Arabidopsis thaliana: one gene and its partner. The protein of the gene in region 1 purifies or fractionates together with the protein of each later gene. This does not show direct contact. Each region holds a gene or a part of one and is shown in the gene's direction. Other genes may lie near its edges. The genes, in order: MET1 and VAR2.

The links.
Region 2: the proteins of MET1 (region 1) and VAR2 purify together in Arabidopsis thaliana (affinity purification with mass spectrometry, with the first as the bait; one study listed by BioGRID). This does not show direct contact.

Annotation. Positions count from the first base shown.
Region 1 is NC_003076.8:19,929,001-19,940,923, forward strand, and holds MET1 (methyltransferase 1), read left to right. Parts: upstream 1-3,113; 5' UTR 3,114-3,275; intron 3,276-3,489; 5' UTR 3,490-3,500; coding exon 3,501-4,951; intron 4,952-5,035; coding exon 5,036-6,560; intron 6,561-6,659; coding exon 6,660-6,824; intron 6,825-6,973; coding exon 6,974-7,169; intron 7,170-7,249; coding exon 7,250-7,361; intron 7,362-7,442; coding exon 7,443-7,590; intron 7,591-7,672; coding exon 7,673-7,870; intron 7,871-8,001; coding exon 8,002-8,280; intron 8,281-8,391; coding exon 8,392-8,553; intron 8,554-8,664; coding exon 8,665-8,883; intron 8,884-9,036; coding exon 9,037-9,186; 3' UTR 9,187-9,470; downstream 9,471-11,923. Other genes in the region: GEX2 (gamete expressed 2), read left to right, coding at 37-128, 217-256; AT5G49170 (uncharacterized protein), read right to left, coding at 9,839-10,303, 10,390-10,482; AT5G49180 (Plant invertase/pectin methylesterase inhibitor superfamily), read right to left, coding at 11,783-11,923.
Region 2 is NC_003071.7:13,169,721-13,179,057, forward strand, and holds VAR2 (FtsH extracellular protease family), read left to right. Parts: upstream 1-4,600; 5' UTR 4,601-4,690; exon of another isoform or gene 4,691-4,799; 5' UTR 4,800-4,959; coding exon 4,960-6,144; intron 6,145-6,229; coding exon 6,230-6,543; intron 6,544-6,629; coding exon 6,630-6,870; intron 6,871-6,984; coding exon 6,985-7,344; downstream 7,345-9,337. Other genes in the region: AT2G30940 (Protein kinase superfamily protein), read left to right, coding at 1-134, 207-419, 500-565; AT2G30942 (transmembrane protein, putative (DUF3317)), read left to right, coding at 1,233-1,317, 1,568-1,640, 2,103-2,115; AT2G30960 (myosin-M heavy chain-like protein), read right to left, coding at 7,821-8,603; ASP1 (aspartate aminotransferase 1), read left to right, coding at 9,292-9,337. UniProt on the Arabidopsis thaliana protein: Part of a complex that function as an ATP-dependent zinc metallopeptidase.

The DNA of each region.
Region 1 (11,923 bases):
TCAAGCATAAAAAGGTTATTCTCTCTTCTGGAGCAGGACAATGCCGAATTGTTAAACAGAAATCTTTCAACAACAACAATCACTGGTTGTCTACCTGAGAGTATCTGGAATCGCCATCCGCAGCAGAGGTATATTTTGGGGGAAATGGTTTAATTGTATAAAATAGTATCGCTTGTTGAAATGTAATCTGTTCTGTGTATTTGTTTGTTGGTAAAGACACATAGGTGAAACTTCCGGCAACCAGAATAAGCAGTAGTCTCCAGATATTAACATTTTTCCGTTCCAGCTAGATAAGGCTCGAAGTTGATAAATCTGAGCCATCAGAATGTTTTTTGGTCATGCTTCTGTTGTAAATGCTCAATGATTCTATAATTACCTTTTTGGTTTAGCTACCAAGATTAAATTGATTAATGATCCGATTAGATTTATAAAAAGACATGAGTTTGGACTTGAAACTACAAATACAAAACATAGAAACAGAACACAAATATCTGCATTAAACAGAACACAAATAGACAAAAAAAAGCACTAACTGTATATCTTGATTTAGTTTTTGTGAATCTAAAGAGAACCATACCATTCTACAACACAGACAGAAAATTTCACTTAACCTAATCACTTTGAACCATCATCTAAGTTGGTTAAGCTTGTTTGTTATTATAGTTGAAAAATCCATTCACAGTAGCTAGAGTTGTTTTTGTTAGTGATGACTATAATGGTAAACTTTTTCTCCCTCAATCTATACGAAGAGTGAGAATTCTCTTATTCCCTCCATACACATATATACACAACCTTTCTGTAAACTAAGTTTGGGTTTGCCTTTACTTATTTTGGCAGAGGATCGGAGAGATCCCCGAGACTGTGGAGATGGAGCGTGGTGATCTCTACGTTACAAGATTGTATAAAGAGCAATCGAATCTGGCCAAATTGACTTTTGTGTAGTGAATTTTTATATTGTACGAGCTTCCTAATGTCTTGATAGAAACTTTTACTCTGTAGATCGTGCATTATCGAATTTTGTTGTTGTTGTCATCTGTGTTTCTATTAATAATGCCATTAAAAGATATAAGAAGGAACTAAATAAGTTTGCGAAAAAAAAAAAATCCCCACAAACTATGCTCAAAATTGAAAGATAAATAAGTATATTAATTTGAGGTTTTCAATGTATATAAATCTGATTAACTCATATGATTATTCATTTAATAGATTTACTAGATCATAACCCGTGCTATACAGCACGAGCATTAATATTTTGTATAAATTAAATTGTATACTTTGTTTGAATTACATAAAAAATAGTATAGTATAAAAGTGATGCCATAATATTTTTCAATGTTTTACTATTTACATATAATGCTGCATTAGATTGACTTTGTTTAAAAATGTTATTGTTATAATAAATACAACATATGTAGTTTTAAGTAAATGTGTAAAATTTGTATAGAAGTTATTTTGGTAAGAAACATGTTTCCTTTGTATTAGAGGATCTAATTTTTGGCCTAATTTAGAATTAGTTTTTGTATAGTATTTTGGTTATATTTGTGGACCTAATTGGGGCCTATATTAGATTATCTTTAATAGGGCTGACGAAAAAACGGACCCGATAACCAACCCAATACTCGAACCAAAAAATCGGGTTAGGGCGGGTTAAAATTTTAGGAAATTTCCTTATTGGGTAGAGTTTTAGTAAACCCGTGGATATCCGATTGGACCGGAAATTACCCGTTATCTAAAAAGAGTATTCAAAAACCCAAACATTAATTTAATATCCAAAATATTAATTATATGATATTATTTTATTTGATTTTAAATATATAGTAAACTGCGAGTTGTATATGTTTTCTTGATATTATTTATATTGTTTAGTGTTTAAAATTATACACTTGTATTTTGATTGTTAATTTTAGAGTTTCACCTGTAGTATACCATCTTATATTAATATCGATTTAAACCCGTCAATTCTAGGATTTTCCAGCTTGTATTAAAAATTGAATCACATCATACACATAAAAAAATCTAATATGTTATTAATTATTGTTGTATATAAGATTATAAATTCTTAAAATAATATGCATGAAATTGAATATAAATATTTAAATTATGACCCAGTACTTAGTAATAAATTTTTTTAAATCTATTTTTGACCCGTTATAATATTTTTTTATGTATTGAACAGTTTATATTCGTTTTTAAAAGTTTAAATTATGGCATATGCGAAAAAACTCTAATTATTTTTTTATAACGATGATATTATTTTTTCGCAAAAATAGAATCATATAAAGATGAGAGGTGAACTATAATAATTAATAAAAAATTAATATGATAATTTAGATATTAAATCTAATTTGTTGATTTTAATTGGTTAATTTTTTGGAAATTAATAATGTATTTCATTTTTTAATGAAATTTAATTAATTAAATTAGTATTTGACTTTTTAATTTTTAAAGAGATGAATTACTTTACTCTTTAAATTTTATTTCTAATGGCATACATATGTAATTACTTACAAAAAGTAAGGTTACATTTAAAATGTACTTCCCAAATAATATAGTAGGATCATGGTAAAATGTTAGTTCTCGAAAGAAAAAATATTGTTATAAATCATAAACCTAACGAGCTAACTAAAATAGCGGCATCCTACCAATTTGAGATTTTTCGTATATATATTAAAATTATCCATTTGATAAACACTTCATGATAAAGTATTAGTTTTGAAAATAAAAATATTGTTCTTGTTATAAGAAAAAACACACACATAAAAGTATTATTGGAGGATCTCATTGTTAAGTTGTTAACCCTCAACATTTCGTCTAAAAATCAGACTTTTTTCTATCAAAAAAATATCTATACTTTGTAGTCAAATAAAAATCTTAATCAAAATAATACTCGTATACTTTGACTGTTGACTGATGGAAAGATATTAGAATATAAACATTAGAGATAGAAACAAATCTGTAAAAATCTTAAAATTAGGATTATTTATACGGAATATTCCCCAAAAGATAAAATCATTGAATCATAAAAAGCCATTTATGGTAGCCCTAAATATTCAGGCGCGGCTTTTTTTCTTATTTCGTTTTCATTTTAAAAAAGTTTTTAGCGCCGTTTATTGCCGCGCGTCGTTTTCGCTCCTCGTCTCGTCTCCTTTTATTATTACCCCCTCTCTCTCTCTCCCACTCTTCCTCTCAAATCACACATCACTGCTTTCTTCAACCTCTCTATCTCTCAGACCAATTAGGGTTTCGCAATCTTCCAGTAGATTTCGCTTCTCAACGTAAGTTTTTCTCTATAATCTGTGTCGATTTCAGTCTAACTACAGTGATTGTTAAACCCTAGACTCGGAAATTTTCCTGGGCTTTGTTATTATTTGCGTCGGTTTAGTCAATGCGATGTAGTGAACGCTTCGATTACATAGATTTGTGTGAAAATTTTATAGTCCAATTGCGTTATAGTGATGATTTTGTTGGTAATTTTGATTTTGAAACTAGGGATTTTGAAAATGGTGGAAAATGGGGCTAAAGCTGCGAAGCGAAAGAAGAGACCACTTCCAGAGATTCAAGAGGTAGAAGATGTACCTAGGACGAGGAGACCAAGGCGTGCTGCAGCGTGTACCAGTTTCAAGGAGAAATCTATTCGAGTCTGTGAGAAATCTGCTACTATTGAAGTAAAGAAACAGCAGATTGTGGAGGAAGAGTTTCTCGCGTTACGGTTAACGGCTCTGGAAACTGATGTTGAAGATCGTCCAACCAGGAGACTGAATGATTTTGTTTTGTTTGATTCAGATGGAGTTCCACAACCTCTGGAGATGTTGGAGATTCATGACATATTCGTTTCAGGTGCTATCTTACCTTCAGATGTGTGTACTGATAAGGAGAAAGAGAAGGGTGTGAGGTGTACATCGTTTGGACGGGTTGAGCATTGGAGTATCTCTGGTTATGAAGATGGTTCCCCTGTTATTTGGATCTCAACGGAATTGGCGGATTATGATTGTCGTAAACCTGCTGCTAGCTACAGGAAGGTTTATGATTACTTCTATGAGAAAGCTCGTGCTTCAGTGGCTGTGTATAAGAAATTGTCCAAGTCATCTGGTGGGGATCCTGATATAGGTCTTGAGGAGTTACTTGCGGCGGTTGTCAGATCAATGAGCAGTGGAAGCAAGTACTTTTCTAGTGGTGCGGCAATCATCGATTTTGTTATATCCCAGGGAGATTTTATATATAACCAACTCGCTGGTTTGGATGAGACAGCCAAGAAACATGAATCAAGCTATGTTGAGATTCCTGTTCTTGTAGCTCTCAGAGAGAAGAGTAGTAAGATTGACAAGCCTCTGCAGAGGGAAAGAAACCCATCTAATGGTGTGAGGATTAAAGAAGTTTCTCAAGTTGCGGAGAGCGAGGCCTTGACATCTGATCAACTGGTTGATGGTACTGATGATGACAGAAGATATGCTATACTCTTACAAGACGAAGAGAATAGGAAATCTATGCAACAGCCCAGAAAAAACAGCAGCTCAGGTTCTGCTTCAAATATGTTCTACATTAAGATAAATGAAGATGAGATTGCCAATGATTATCCTCTCCCATCGTACTATAAGACCTCCGAAGAAGAAACAGATGAACTTATACTTTATGATGCTTCCTATGAGGTTCAATCTGAACACCTGCCTCACAGGATGCTTCACAACTGGGCTCTTTATAACTCTGATTTACGATTCATATCACTGGAACTTCTACCGATGAAACAATGTGATGATATTGATGTCAACATTTTTGGGTCAGGTGTGGTGACTGATGATAATGGAAGTTGGATTTCTTTAAACGATCCTGACAGCGGTTCTCAGTCACACGATCCTGATGGGATGTGCATATTCCTCAGTCAAATTAAAGAATGGATGATTGAGTTTGGGAGCGATGATATTATCTCCATTTCTATACGAACAGATGTGGCCTGGTAAGCTTACTATCCTAGTATTTTGTACTCGCATGTTTCTACGTCTGTTTTTTCTTCTGTTGCTGATGTATAAGGTATATACAGGTACCGTCTTGGGAAACCATCAAAACTTTATGCCCCTTGGTGGAAACCTGTTCTGAAAACAGCAAGGGTTGGGATAAGCATTCTTACTTTTCTTAGGGTGGAAAGTAGGGTTGCTAGGCTTTCATTTGCAGATGTCACAAAAAGACTGTCTGGGTTACAGGCGAATGATAAAGCTTACATTTCTTCTGACCCCTTGGCTGTTGAGAGATATTTGGTCGTCCATGGGCAAATTATTTTACAGCTTTTTGCAGTTTATCCGGACGACAATGTCAAAAGGTGTCCATTTGTTGTTGGTCTTGCAAGCAAATTGGAGGATAGGCACCACACAAAATGGATCATCAAGAAGAAGAAAATTTCGCTGAAGGAACTGAATCTGAATCCAAGGGCAGGCATGGCACCAGTAGCATCGAAGAGGAAAGCTATGCAAGCAACAACAACTCGCCTGGTCAACAGAATTTGGGGAGAGTTTTACTCCAATTACTCTCCAGAGGATCCATTGCAGGCGACTGCTGCAGAAAATGGGGAGGATGAGGTGGAAGAGGAAGGCGGAAATGGGGAGGAAGAGGTTGAAGAGGAAGGTGAAAATGGTCTCACAGAGGACACTGTACCAGAACCTGTTGAGGTTCAGAAGCCTCATACTCCTAAGAAAATCCGAGGCAGTTCTGGAAAAAGGGAAATAAAATGGGATGGTGAGAGTCTAGGAAAAACTTCTGCTGGCGAGCCTCTCTATCAACAAGCCCTTGTTGGAGGGGAAATGGTGGCTGTAGGTGGCGCTGTCACCTTGGAAGTTGATGATCCAGATGAAATGCCGGCCATCTATTTTGTGGAGTACATGTTCGAAAGTACAGATCACTGCAAAATGTTACATGGTAGATTCTTACAAAGAGGATCTATGACTGTTCTGGGGAATGCTGCTAACGAGAGGGAACTATTCCTGACTAATGAATGCATGACTACACAGCTCAAGGACATTAAAGGAGTAGCCAGTTTTGAGATTCGATCAAGGCCATGGGGGCATCAGTATAGGAAAAAGAACATCACTGCGGATAAGCTTGACTGGGCTAGAGCATTAGAAAGAAAAGTAAAAGATTTGCCAACAGAGTATTACTGCAAAAGCTTGTACTCACCTGAGAGAGGGGGATTCTTTAGTCTTCCACTAAGTGATATTGGTCGCAGTTCTGGGTTCTGCACTTCATGTAAGATAAGGGAGGATGAAGAGAAGAGGTCTACAATTAAACTAAATGTTTCAAAGACAGGCTTTTTCATCAATGGGATTGAGTATTCTGTTGAGGATTTTGTCTATGTCAACCCTGACTCTATTGGTGGGTTGAAGGAGGGTAGTAAAACTTCTTTTAAGTCTGGGCGAAACATTGGGTTAAGAGCGTATGTTGTTTGCCAATTGCTGGAAATTGTTCCAAAGGAATCTAGAAAGGCTGATTTGGGTTCCTTTGATGTTAAAGTGAGAAGGTTTTATAGGCCTGAGGATGTTTCTGCAGAGAAGGCCTATGCTTCAGACATCCAAGAAGTAAGAACTATTTTTTATATCTGGTAATGTGTTCAGTGGTGAGGTTTCTTCATAAGTTTATCTGACAATCTTTTTTCTTTCTTTTTGCAATTTCTTAAGTTGTATTTCAGCCAGGACACAGTTGTTCTCCCTCCAGGTGCTCTAGAGGGAAAATGTGAAGTAAGAAAGAAAAGTGATATGCCCTTATCCCGTGAATATCCAATATCAGACCATATTTTCTTCTGTGATCTTTTCTTTGACACCTCCAAAGGTTCTCTCAAGCAGGTATATACCTCTCTTCACTTCGTATTTGTCAATTATTTGTGTACCTAGTTTCTTAAGGAATTCATATAGTTGTGTCTAGGATTTATATGTTATGATTATTGTTGTTCTGATACAAAGTTGAACTTTTTCTCTATACTGTCTTGTAACAGCTGCCCGCCAATATGAAGCCAAAGTTCTCTACTATTAAGGACGACACACTTTTAAGAAAGAAAAAGGGAAAGGGAGTAGAGAGTGAAATTGAGTCTGAGATTGTCAAGCCTGTTGAGCCACCTAAAGAGATTCGTCTGGCTACTCTAGATATTTTTGCTGGTTGTGGTGGCCTGTCTCATGGACTGAAAAAGGCGGGTATGTATTATATCCAGTCAACTCTTAATCTTCCAAAATGCTTGAATAAGTTGTATTAATATTCATGCTATATGTAAAAGGTGTATCTGATGCAAAGTGGGCGATTGAGTATGAAGAGCCAGCTGGGCAGGCTTTTAAACAAAACCATCCTGAGTCAACAGTTTTTGTTGACAACTGCAATGTGATTCTTAGGTAAATAGCCAACAAGTTATCGCTTACTCTTTTAGTGTGGCTATTTTTTGCATTGTGATCAGTTGTTGTGATTAATTGCAGGGCTATAATGGAGAAAGGTGGAGATCAAGATGATTGTGTCTCTACTACAGAGGCAAATGAATTAGCAGCTAAACTAACTGAGGAGCAGAAGAGTACTCTGCCACTGCCTGGTCAAGTGGACTTCATCAATGGTGGACCTCCATGTCAGGTATATATTTCAGATTGTGGCTATACTTGTGTAAATTTTTCGTTGAATAAGTGAAAAGCCCTTAACCTGTGCAATTTGGCAGGGATTTTCTGGTATGAACAGGTTCAACCAAAGCTCTTGGAGTAAAGTTCAGTGTGAAATGATATTAGCATTCTTGTCCTTTGCTGACTATTTCCGGCCAAGGTATTTTCTTCTGGAGAACGTGAGGACCTTTGTGTCATTCAATAAAGGGCAGACATTTCAGCTTACTTTGGCTTCCCTTCTCGAAATGGGTTACCAGGTAAAGTCCTAACGCTTTTGTTAAATTGATTTCTCTTTAGTAGAAGTTGGCATGCTCTGTGAAGAATGGTTTGCGAAGTACAAAAATTGACTTAAATCTCTTAAATATGATGTTTCTATGATGTTTCCCAGGTGAGATTTGGAATCCTGGAGGCCGGTGCATATGGAGTATCCCAATCTCGTAAACGAGCTTTCATTTGGGCTGCTGCACCAGAAGAAGTTCTCCCTGAATGGCCTGAGCCGATGCATGTCTTTGGTGTTCCAAAGTTGAAAATCTCACTATCTCAAGGTTTACATTATGCTGCTGTTCGTAGTACTGCACTTGGTGCCCCTTTCCGTCCAATCACCGTGAGAGACACAATTGGTGATCTTCCATCAGTAGAAAACGGAGACTCTAGGACAAACAAAGAGGTATGATAACACATCTGGAGAAAATATCTATACATACATATTTGCTAAACACAAATGACGTGAACCCATTAATTTATTAATTTATGTGGGGGAAATTCTTGTTTCTTGCAGTATAAAGAGGTTGCAGTCTCGTGGTTCCAAAAGGAGATAAGAGGAAACACGATTGCTCTCACTGATCATATCTGCAAGGCTATGAATGAGCTTAACCTCATTCGATGCAAATTAATCCCAACTAGGCCTGGGGCTGATTGGCATGACTTGCCAAAGAGAAAGGTCAGTCTTATACATCCTACCTCAGGAATACCTTTGTCAGGTTGACTACGGTCAAAAGAATTGCTTTTGAAACTAGAAATCAACCCAAATCGCTTTGTTTTAATATCACAGGTTACGTTATCTGATGGGCGCGTAGAAGAAATGATTCCTTTTTGTCTCCCAAACACAGCTGAGCGCCACAACGGTTGGAAGGGACTATATGGGAGATTAGATTGGCAAGGAAACTTTCCGACTTCCGTCACGGATCCTCAGCCCATGGGTAAGGTTGGAATGTGCTTTCATCCTGAACAGCACAGAATCCTTACAGTCCGTGAATGCGCCCGATCTCAGGTAAGAAAAACTCTTCTGTTCCCAGTCAGTCCTATAGCATCAGTTACAGACTTAGAGATTGCAAAGCACTGAATGGTTTTGGGAGATAGAGTAGTAATGTTAGCTTTATCGATATGGCCTTTTAAGCGAAATTGTTGTTAATGAAAACTGCAGGGGTTTCCGGATAGCTACGAGTTTGCAGGGAACATAAATCACAAGCACAGGCAGATTGGGAATGCAGTCCCTCCACCATTGGCATTTGCTCTAGGTCGTAAGCTCAAAGAAGCCCTACATCTCAAGAAGTCTCCTCAACACCAACCCTAGATAACCACCCAAATTTGGCATTTCCTTTTTCAATAATATTAGTCATTATGATCCTTGTCTTGAATGAAACTCATTGGTGCTGATACTTTTGATAAAGAAAGCCTACGAAGAGTTTTTGTATATTCCGTATTCGGATTGAAAAATCTCATTATACAAGCAAGCAATGATGTCTATAGACTATGATTTATTTGCCTTGTGAATTGGGTTGAAATAATATTGCGTCGAAAATTTAAAGATATGAGAGACAGTTTCAATGATATTGCGTCGAAATAAAGTTTGTCCAGAACATGTAAAGGTTTCAGTCATCTATCAATTTTAGACTCTTGAAAAATGCACTGTACAACAGTTAATAATAATATAAACTTCAATATTATAAAAATTAGGTAAATAAAAAACACCTAAAACAGTTTATAATTATCTCGCATCAACCAACGGAAAGAAACAACAAATAACGGGAGCTGGTTATTATTACCTTAAGCTACCCAGTCACACTTATGTAATGGACTCATCATATCCTATAAAACAATTGGGCCCATTAGGCCCACAAACCAAATCTAAACTTATCTTCCACACCTCCCAAAACAAATCTTATTAATTTCTTTTTCCTTTTTTGATCCTATAAAAGGATAATTCTGCAAATTGATGTTTTTATTCACGTGACCAAGTAAATTGGACCGGACATAGAAGAAGAGGTAGTGATCCTCTGCTGTCGCTCCATATTAAGCTCCCGTAGACTCAAATACTGAACTGCCGACGTCGTAGTCATCGGCCGGTATGGTGTACTCGAACCGCTCCAACTCTCTGTCACGTAAACCGGACCTGATATCGAACCAGCTCGAAAATTTCTAGCTCTAGCAAAATGAACATCGCTACGATCGTCGAACTCATTGTCTCCGTCGTTTTCGCCGGAGCATCTTCCAACGACGGCAGAGGAGATTGGCCATTTCCGCCACTTAAAGAAGAACAAAGCGTTCTTGCACCATAACCAACGCTTCTTGTTCTTGTTCTTGTTGTGGAGAGTGGTTCGGATCAAATCGTCTTTCGAGATAGGTTTTTGAAGTTTGAACTGAAATGTGTCAATGGAGGAAGACTTGTGTTTCTTTGCTTCTTCCAAAACCTTAAGATATACAAAAACAAAAAAAAACAGAGTTAGCTTTATATCGAAACCCTAGGAACAATGTGGAAGAAGAAGAAGAAGAGAACCTGAAAGTAATGGATCTGGGGATCGAAGCCATAATCGCTAAAATGTTGAGATTGGAGCATTGGGAAAATTGGAGATATGCTCTTGTTAGACATTGGTGAAGTGACTTTAGTTTTTAGTGTTTCAAGAGAAAAGGTGTTCTAGTGTTAGTGTTTTGGTTGATTCAATGCTTCTTCACTCTCTTGTCTCTTTCTACCTTCTTTTCGGTTAGTCTATAATCTATATCCCAAATACTTTCAAGCTATTTAAAAAAAAAAATGGAGATCCGTATTTAAAAATAATAAAAAGTTAGAATTGTATTCTGTAACCAATCACATGGGTATGGTTTCTTATTATACAAAACATTGTCGTAATTTTGACGATTTTTGTTTTGTTTTGCTTTTGTATATATGACCCACTAGAAACGGAAAAGTAATACTATATCTTTTGTTTTGAAAATCTTAAGATCCATTGAACATTTAATACTACCAAGGAATTTGCATGGGTCCTTCTCATCATTTATTCTTCCACACATTTACTATGTTTATGTAATAACCATTAAGAATTTGAGATGACTTTCACAAAAAGCATATGACACTTTACTCCAAACGAGTGGTTCTTTAATACAAGAACTAGGTTAAAATTCAGGATGCTAGAACTTTGTATTAAATGGTTCTTTTATTCTTTTAAGTTAAATAATACTTTTATCAAAAAAGTTTATATTATTAGTGGTTCCCTGAAGTAATATAGTTACATTGATTTATTAGTGGAAGAAGAAGAAGATAAAAAACCATGAAACTGAAAGTAGTGGATTTGGATATCGAGAAACTAGGATATTTGTTGTTAGACATCGGTTAGGGGTTCCAAGAGTAAAGGTGCTTTGCTTGATTTAATACTCTCTTCAGTCTTTACTCTCTTGTCACTTTCCACCTTCTTTTTCGGTTAGTCCATTCCCAAATACATTCAAACTCAATCTTAAAGAATGCGCACCCGAAAAATAAATGATTAAACTAGAATCTGTACTAAAATAAAACAAAACAAATCAAAAAATTACAAGAAACAAGAACCTAAAAATCAATAACATCAAGCTTGTAATTCTGCTGGTTCTTCACGTTGACCTCGAGGAACCGGTACCAATTAGTAATAAAGGTACAATGATAAGGCCAATGATCAACCACAAATCTATATGAGTTTTACTGATCAACTTATTTGTACCAAAAACATAGATCCAAGCCTGACCAATTTTGTCCTAAGAGCACACGACAAGCCTTTTATCTTCAATGTAGTAACTTGGCTGAGAGTAAGATACTAGATTCGGCAAGTCAGGACTTTAAGACAAGACACGCATATAAATTATTCACCTTCATTTTTTTTTTTAAAGAGCACACAGAAAGTGGAAAATTCACCAATTGGAATCTACTGAAAATTCCCCATGTAAGGCACACGATTTGGTGGAATCCACAAGTTACCACGTAAAAACCTAGCAGGAGTAAATCGAAGAGCTTGCTTGGGCGATAGTTTCTTAATTCCAGGCCACTTAACACGTTGGGCTTGGTT
Region 2 (9,337 bases), on another chromosome or scaffold:
ACAGTGATATTCCAACTTTGATTCCTTCACCTGGTAATATGGATGAGAAAATCGACGTTTATTCCTTTGGGAATATGATAATGGAGCTTGTCTCTGGGAGAGTCTCTGTAGACCAAAGTTCACCACATGTGAGAGTGTATACACAATACATAATTTACCAATAAAAACCATTTTTAGCTAACTAGAAACACTGTTGTTCTTGGCAGGTTTATCTAGTGGACTGGATCAAAGAGATGGTGGCAAATCATATGATAGTAGATGTTCTTGATCCTAGTCTTCCCGAATTTCCTACAATAAAGGAACTCAAACGGATTGTGTTGATTTCCCTGCGTTGTGTTGATCCCGAGCTAAAAGAGAGACCTAAAATGGGAGATGTGATTCACATGCTCCAACCACATGACTTGCTGCTGAATAACAATGTAATAAAACTTTTTGACATTCAGTTTCTTGTTCCCCAAGCTAAATAGTTATCCTTACTTTGTTCTTTCTCTGTTTCCAGGCAATACAGAAGGCTCAGAAGATTACCCGGTCACATGAGGTTTCTGCAATAAGTATCAGACAATGAGTCCTAAGCAAGCAATAAAATGATTGTTAATATAGGATCTTCTGCTTTGTATTAACTAAATTAAGGGTTCCTTTTAATTTAGGTCACAGCAGGCTCAGCTGTATTGATTGTGTTTTGCATCCTTTCCAACTTTGTTATATGACTTCCCTATATATCACATGTGTTGCTATTGATGCAGGATAGTAATCAGGAAGATAAATTTCTTGAACCAAATCTGTATAGGAACACTGATAAAATAGAAACAACGATTTTCACAATCTTGGTTTCCAAGGAACTTGAATAACAATAAAAACTAGGGATAGTATAATGAAGTTACAAATTTATTACTTTGACCCTTCTTTTACTTAAATTTCCACTGTTGTTTTTCTTTTTGGAAAATTATCTTTTACAAGTTTTTTTGCGTTTCATTAATTCTATGTTACGAACACAACTTTTTGACCAATTTATAAAATCGGTGAGTTACAATAACCGGTAGACGAGTAAACCGGGATTTTATAAGTGCTCTGAAGATCACCAAACAATCTCTCCTCACGAAGATCTTCAGCTTCAAGGACTTTTAAATCATCGAATCTCTCTGTAAGTTACGATCTCCGACTGACTCTTACTGGGTAAATTTCGAAAACTTGAAACTGGGTGTTTCCGACCGTCGAATCGGATTCGACTAGATATGAACTGGGTTCAACGAAAAATCTACCTTTACAACGTCACCTTCGGGCTTTACATGCTCGATTGGTGGGAACGATACCTATTCAGTATCCTTTTCTCTTTGATCTATTTGAACTTTTTTTGTTGTTGCGAATCTTATCTTATTCGGTTAAAAGGTTGAATTTTTATTTGTTCAGCTTCTTTAGCTGCGTTATCTTTTGTTAGAAAAGTTTAATTTTTTGAGATTCTATTCTGGATTTGACAATGTCTATGAAGTTTCAAATTTACAAGTTTTGTCCAGCAAAAACAAAAACCAGAGCTCTTGCCATTTTCCTTAACTCTGTTTTTTTCTTTCAGATTCTTTAGTGTTAATCTTGATGTGGTTTATTCTGTACAATGGATCTCGTTACTTTTCCGAGCTTTGCAAGAGGTAACTTTAATGGTCTTAATGTATAGCTTTAGTTTGATTTAGGTTTGGGTTTTGTCACCATCTCAAATCCTTGTTTTGCTTATATGTTTTACTAGTTTCTATCTCTAGTTAGTGTGTGTATATGTATCTATGTTCTATTGATTAAAGATATCAAGAGGGTTTGTGGATTTTACATCACATTTGATATTCTATATCATCCGATTGTTAATGAACTACATTGAATGTTATGTTCCTTTGATCTCTGTGCTTATAACGGATTTAGAGGGTTGCTAGAGTTTGCTCTATCTTATGCATTCAATTCTCTTAACACAGAGCAGAGCGACTTCAAACAGATTCTTTGGGGATTTGAACTTAGGTTGTGTGTTAAGTATGCTCAGAAGAAACATTTGAAATCACTTTCTTGATAAGCCTCTTGCGTTGTTATGCACTGCTTAATTATGTTAAATCCTTCTTATTCCACAGGCATCTTTCATGAAACCAGGTCATAATCATCACGCCATGGAATCGTGAAACCCACATGGTTATCTGAGACTTGCGCCAACAAACTCCTATGTTCTGCTTTGCTTGCACCTCCTTCTTTGCCACGATTCCTGATCATGTAAACTGTTCATAGATCATTTATTCCTATGGTTATTTTGGAATGGACATCCTTTGTTCGATTCTATTTCCTCCACTTCAAATTTTTGACACAGGGCCAAACCATATTACTTGCATCTTTTGATGTTTAGAGTCCATAACCTCAAAGTTTCCAGGTGTTTTCTCGGTACTGTTAGTAAGAGACCATGTCCATCAGTGTTTCTAATGGGTTTCTAATCTAAAATCCTAAAGAATAAAAGTCCAAAAATAAAGGAAAACCCAATAAAATTGTTAGGATCGTTCCTATTTTAGGATTTTTAGGATTTTCTGAAGTGTTTAGAAACAGTGACGTGGCTAGAAATGATAGGATGAAAATTTAGACAAAAAAAACAAAAAAGAAAAAAGCGTGTTTCTCTTTCCTCTTGTCCTTTCTCTTTTCTTTTGGTTCTCCGACGAAAATTAGGTGATTCCAATCGATCCCTTTCGATTACAAACTTCGGCGTATCGACCATGAAATCGGGAGACAAGAGCCACATGTACTCAATTTTCAACCGCTATGTACTCAATTTTCAACCGCCGGGATGATGATCGACGACGAGGTTGTTCACTAAATTGATTCTTCGAACCAAATCGAAAGGAGTGGCAAAAAGCTTCAGAAAAGAGTAGGGTGGAGGCTGCTTGGATTAAAGAGAAGTATCCAGATAGAATTCCGGTGAGTGTCTCTCTTGTCATTGATCGATCATACAATAACTTGCTTAACTTTCACAACAATTATAGCCTTTTCTCTACGCATTGTTTGGAATTGTGGTGTTCTCTACGCATTGTTTTAAACTTCTGTTGTTTAAGAAATTATAGAATATCTGCATAAAGTATGTTAAGGTTTATACGTTTATTCACATGAACATGACCATGCTTCTGCTATCGAAGAAGAATTGCAATTCTCATGGAAAAGCCTCTGTTTTTTATAGTGCTTAGTAAGTATAGAGACTAGTAACTAGAATATTATTAGATTGGTTTATGCATTTCTTTTATGGCTTTTGATGAACAATTGGTCCATATGCCATTATTTTCGGTTATATGGTCCTTATGTGACACATTACTGTTAAGTGTTTCTTTCTCATCTAAACGTTGAAGAGTAGTTTGATTGTTGTATTGACCGTTAAGCATTTGTACTCTTACTGAAATCTTGAGAGCTGTCATTTTCAGGTGTATGTAGAATTGCAGACTACATTCTTTAAGTTCTTGAGCTTGGAACAATACTTTTCTCACTCTACTTGTTTCTGCAATTAAATGGTAATAACAATTTCTAATGTCAGTTAAAAATCTTTCAAGTTGATTTTTGTTTAGCTTTTTCTATTGAGGTTCAAACTTGTAAGCACGCGATTGAAACCAACTGTAGAATGACAGATCTTGTTTGTTATTCTGTCTTTATGTTACTTTGTGTCATCTTCTATATACTTTTACATACCTTACAGGGCCGCTTAGTGATCTTGAAATGGCTTTAAAGAACAAACTTATCACTGACATGTTGTCAAATGCTTGAATGGTGCCTTTTATGTCTTGAAAGTTAGTCTTTTTGTGTCGGTTAATGCTTCTTCACTTGTTTTTGTTCTGTTCGGTTATGAATCTTATTATCTTAAGTTGTTTGTGTTCTGTTCTAAATTGGTTTCATTGTGCTCTGTTCTAATTGGTTTGTGTTCGTGTTCAAACTTCAATAGATTGGTTTGTGTTCTGTTCTAAATGAATTTCAACTTCGTTTTAAGGATGATGTCCCTGTCGAGATGCAAGAGTTCAAGGAAGCATAAATAGCAAGCACATGCAAGTGTTGTTCTGTTCTGTGTATAAGTGTATAGGCTATGGTCGTGTGAAGATGCACTTGAGTTTGTGTGTCGAATTTTGTGAGTGTATCAAGTTTTGAGAGCGTAGAGTCTGTGTCAAGTTTTGAGAGTCAAATGTATCCCAAACACTTTCACATTTTTTTCAAAATTTTTTTTTAGTTTTATTAGAAACTCACTTAAGGATTTTTTTAATGGACCAAAAATTTTTCAAAAACTCTACAAAATCTCTAAACTACAAAAATATCAAAATTAATTAATAAAAAATACATAGAAACCTTACTTAGAAACTAACCAATGTGGTTGCTCTGAGAGTACTACAAAAATAAAATAAAATGTGTAATATACAAATTGCAAGAGAATACATAACATAACAGAGAAATTCATATGTACAGTAATTGAAAATCGTCGAGTAAACCAATTTTGGTTTGGATACCAATTCAGTTTTTGGTTAGATTCGGGTAATTAAATTAAACCACTCAATGAAGGACACGTAAGTTCTTCACGAACCACATCTGTTCCCTTAAAAAAAAATCTCCAAGTCCCTTGCACTATTCTCCTCTCTTTCTCTCCATCCTCCATATTTGCAGAGCTCGAGATTCTCCTTCCCTATACAACTCTCATCTGTAATCGATACAGGTTTGTCTTCTACCTCTTCTCTTTGGTTAGATTCTTTTATAATCTCCGTCGCTGCATAACTCTGACTGGGTTTTCTTCGGCAAATTCTGATTTCGTCGCTTTGTGTTAGTTTTAGTTCCTTGATTTCTAATTCACTGAATTAAGAACTCGAAGTATGTTTACTGTTCCTTTGATCTGAGGGTTAGGTTCTTGTACTTGTAAGAAACTTGCTTGTTCTGTCTCATCGTTCATGGGATTTGATATATCATCTAATTAATTTTTCTTCTTTGATGAATTTTCAGATGGCAGCTTCATCAGCTTGTCTTGTGGGAAATGGTTTGTCAGTGAACACAACAACCAAACAGAGGTTAAGTAAACATTTTTCCGGCAGACAGACAAGCTTTTCTTCAGTGATTAGGACATCTAAGGTTAATGTAGTGAAGGCTTCTTTGGATGGGAAGAAGAAGCAAGAAGGAAGAAGAGATTTTCTCAAAATCTTGTTAGGAAATGCTGGGGTCGGTTTGGTTGCAAGTGGGAAAGCAAATGCTGATGAACAAGGTGTTTCTTCGTCGAGGATGTCGTATTCTAGGTTTCTAGAGTACTTGGATAAGGATAGGGTGAATAAAGTTGATTTGTATGAGAATGGGACTATAGCTATTGTGGAAGCTGTTTCTCCTGAATTGGGTAACCGGGTTGAGAGAGTACGTGTTCAGCTACCGGGTTTAAGTCAAGAGCTTCTACAGAAGCTTAGGGCTAAGAATATTGATTTTGCAGCACATAATGCTCAGGAAGATCAAGGTTCTGTGTTATTCAACTTGATTGGTAATCTTGCTTTCCCGGCGCTTTTGATTGGTGGTTTGTTCCTTCTTTCGAGACGGTCTGGTGGTGGAATGGGTGGACCTGGTGGTCCTGGTAACCCACTTCAGTTTGGTCAGTCCAAAGCAAAGTTCCAAATGGAACCTAACACTGGTGTAACATTTGATGATGTTGCTGGAGTTGATGAAGCAAAGCAAGATTTCATGGAAGTGGTGGAGTTTTTGAAGAAACCTGAGAGATTCACTGCGGTTGGTGCCAAGATCCCGAAAGGTGTTCTTCTTATTGGTCCTCCTGGTACCGGGAAAACCCTTTTGGCAAAAGCCATTGCTGGTGAAGCTGGTGTGCCTTTCTTCTCCATCTCTGGTTCTGAGTTTGTTGAGATGTTTGTCGGTGTTGGTGCCTCGAGAGTCCGTGATCTTTTCAAGAAAGCCAAGGAGAACGCTCCTTGCATTGTCTTTGTAGATGAAATAGATGCTGTTGGTAGGCAAAGAGGAACCGGAATTGGTGGAGGTAATGATGAAAGAGAACAGACCCTCAATCAGCTCCTAACTGAGATGGATGGTTTTGAAGGTAACACTGGTGTTATCGTAGTTGCTGCAACCAATAGAGCAGACATTCTTGACTCTGCTTTGTTGAGGCCAGGACGGTTTGACCGGCAGGTACTATCTGATTATTACACATTGATATGTTTTGTAATCCTGTACTACTCCTAGAGCTTGTGCTTACTTATAATTTCTGGTGCAGGTAAGTGTTGACGTTCCTGACGTTAAGGGGAGAACAGATATTCTCAAGGTTCATGCCGGCAATAAGAAGTTCGACAATGATGTTTCACTTGAAATAATAGCAATGAGAACACCTGGATTTAGCGGAGCAGATCTCGCTAACCTCTTGAATGAGGCTGCTATATTGGCCGGAAGGCGAGCACGGACATCGATATCATCTAAAGAGATTGATGACTCCATTGATAGAATCGTTGCTGGCATGGAAGGAACAGTGATGACCGATGGCAAGAGCAAAAGCTTGGTAGCTTACCATGAAGTTGGTCATGCAGTGTGTGGGTAAGTGAGAAACATATTAAAAGCCTGTCTGTATATTATTACTATCAAAAACTTACTTTAAAGTTATAAACTTTGGTTTTTTACAGAACATTGACTCCAGGACATGATGCTGTGCAAAAGGTAACGTTGATACCAAGAGGCCAAGCAAGAGGTCTGACTTGGTTCATTCCATCAGATGACCCGACACTCATCTCCAAGCAGCAACTCTTTGCAAGAATTGTTGGTGGACTCGGTGGTAGGGCCGCTGAAGAAATCATCTTTGGTGATTCCGAGGTGACTACTGGCGCAGTTGGTGACTTACAACAGATCACCGGTTTGGCTAGACAGGTACGCGACACGTTCAGCTTCACATTAGTTATGCTGGAGCCTGATGATAAGTTTGATCTTTTACTAGTTGATGAAACTGAGTGTTTGAGACTGTTGAATATTTTTACTTTGCAGATGGTAACAACATTTGGAATGTCTGATATTGGACCATGGTCTTTGATGGATTCTTCGGCACAAAGCGATGTCATCATGAGAATGATGGCAAGAAACTCCATGTCTGAGAAGCTTGCAGAAGACATTGATTCTGCGGTGAAGAAACTATCAGACAGTGCATATGAGATAGCTCTAAGCCACATAAAGAACAATCGTGAAGCCATGGATAAGCTCGTTGAAGTGCTTCTCGAGAAAGAAACTATTGGCGGTGACGAATTCAGGGCAATTCTTTCCGAGTTTACTGAGATCCCCCCGGAAAACCGAGTTCCTTCTTCAACAACGACAACTCCAGCATCAGCACCAACACCAGCTGCTGTCTAAGTAATCAATCTGTATACTTGTGATACTTATAATTTTTCTGTAAATTTATCTTCAAACTTACACTCTAGAAATGTGATACTATCTCAAAATTTAGTAACAAGTAAATGTTTAAAAAATTGAATTTGTAGGCTTGTTTATGATATTGTCCAGATTTGCAACACTCAAACCGAAATTCAAAAGTATTTTCAAGTAGCACAAGCAGAACACCAAAAACTGTTATGGAATCATGTTCTTTATACTTACAAACTTATGTACATTTGCTTACAATTAACCTCAAACCATTAGTCCCTAATGCTTCAGAGTCTTTAATCCAACACCATCATCATCTCTCTGTTCAATGAACATCCAAGAATAGTAGCATTCCAGAGCTAAGCAGAAAACCTGAAACCAAAATATTCTAAAAGATCAATGTTTGATTCCAAATCAGTAAATAGAAACCGTAAAGAAGCAACATTTATCAAACCTTAAAGGAAACGTTACGCATTAAATGGCTTCACGCCACTTGCAATTCCATCACCAGCTCTCTCGTTCTGCTCTTTCTTCACCCACACCATTGTAGAAGAAGAAGCTCCTCTCGGCATTGGCCGATTACGATATCTCCATTTGGTTTGTGTCTTGAGAGTTTTGGCTTCTCCTCTATTGATAGAGAAGTTCTCAAACTGTGTTTCTATGGCCATTGATTTGGTAATCTCTTTAGATTTGGTCGCTTTCATCCAATAAACTGGAACCACATCTTTCACCGGAGTATTATTCTCCGTCACGACGGACTCAGGCGGCACGATTGATGATACACAACCGCAATCGATGACATCCTCAACCACAGCTCCATCTTGATTTTTATTCGTCTTGCTATTATATCGTTTCCTCCAAGCTCCCTTATTCTTCTTCTTCTTCTTCTTCGGTAATCCATCCGCCGCATCTTCACCTCCACCGCTCTCGATCGCCACCGTGACTTCCGGTTTCTCCTTCTCAACGAATCGTGCTTCTCCGCCGTCTATAGATTCCTTTTTTCTCCCAAAATGCTTCCGATTACTTCGATTCATACGCTTCTCCTCCTCCGCTTTCTTCAGATCTTCTTCCTCTATCTTTTTCTCTTCCTCAGCCTGTAGTTTCCGTCGTCTCTCTTCTTCTTCCTTTCGCTTCTTCTCTTTCTCATTGAGCCAACGCTCCTGGAGCTGAAGGATGCTGATGTAGTTAGCCGGAATCAGAGGAACAGTCTTTCTTTTGCCGTATGTGTTCTTCTCCTCCATTGAAATCATTTCCTTCACACGCTTCACAAACAAACCTCGTCGAAGCTGAAATAGTGAAAAGCGTACTGTAGTAATAAAATGCTGAAAGGAAAAGTAAAAAAAGAGAGGTCCTACGCAATAGCATTAACTTTTTATACCGCACTTCCTTAGAGGCCCATTGGCTGGCCCGTAACTTCCTTTACTTTTTTGAGATTTTCTGATAATTTTGTTGTAAAGTTCACAAAACATAATTAAGTTGGAAGCACTTAAGTTCACAAAACATTCTAATGAAATCATCTTGTTATAATTGACTCAAGTTACAAATAATATGATAAAACAGTCAAAATTAAAAAATTAACTACCATAAACATGTAAGATTCTAAAATAAATATAAATGTTTTATTACTAGATTCAGGTGTTGGAAGACTAACTAAAAGGGAAATAAATCAGACACATAGAGCCAAGCAACATTTATTACTTTTTATAGTATTTATCATTAGAGTAAAGCTTATTTTATTAAAATCAAACCTTATCTCTCACACACACACAGACCAAGGCCATTTTCTAAGCAACTTGTGCGACTCTCCTTCGTCCTCATCTGCCAAAAACTTCGTACGAGTCGCTACTTCTCTCTCTATATATAAACTCCTTACCACTCTCTTTTTCTGATTTTTTGACGTTAAGAGATAGAAACAGAGAGAGATAGAGAGATAGAGTTATGGCTTTGGCGATGATGATCCGAAACGCAGCTTCGAAGCGAGGAA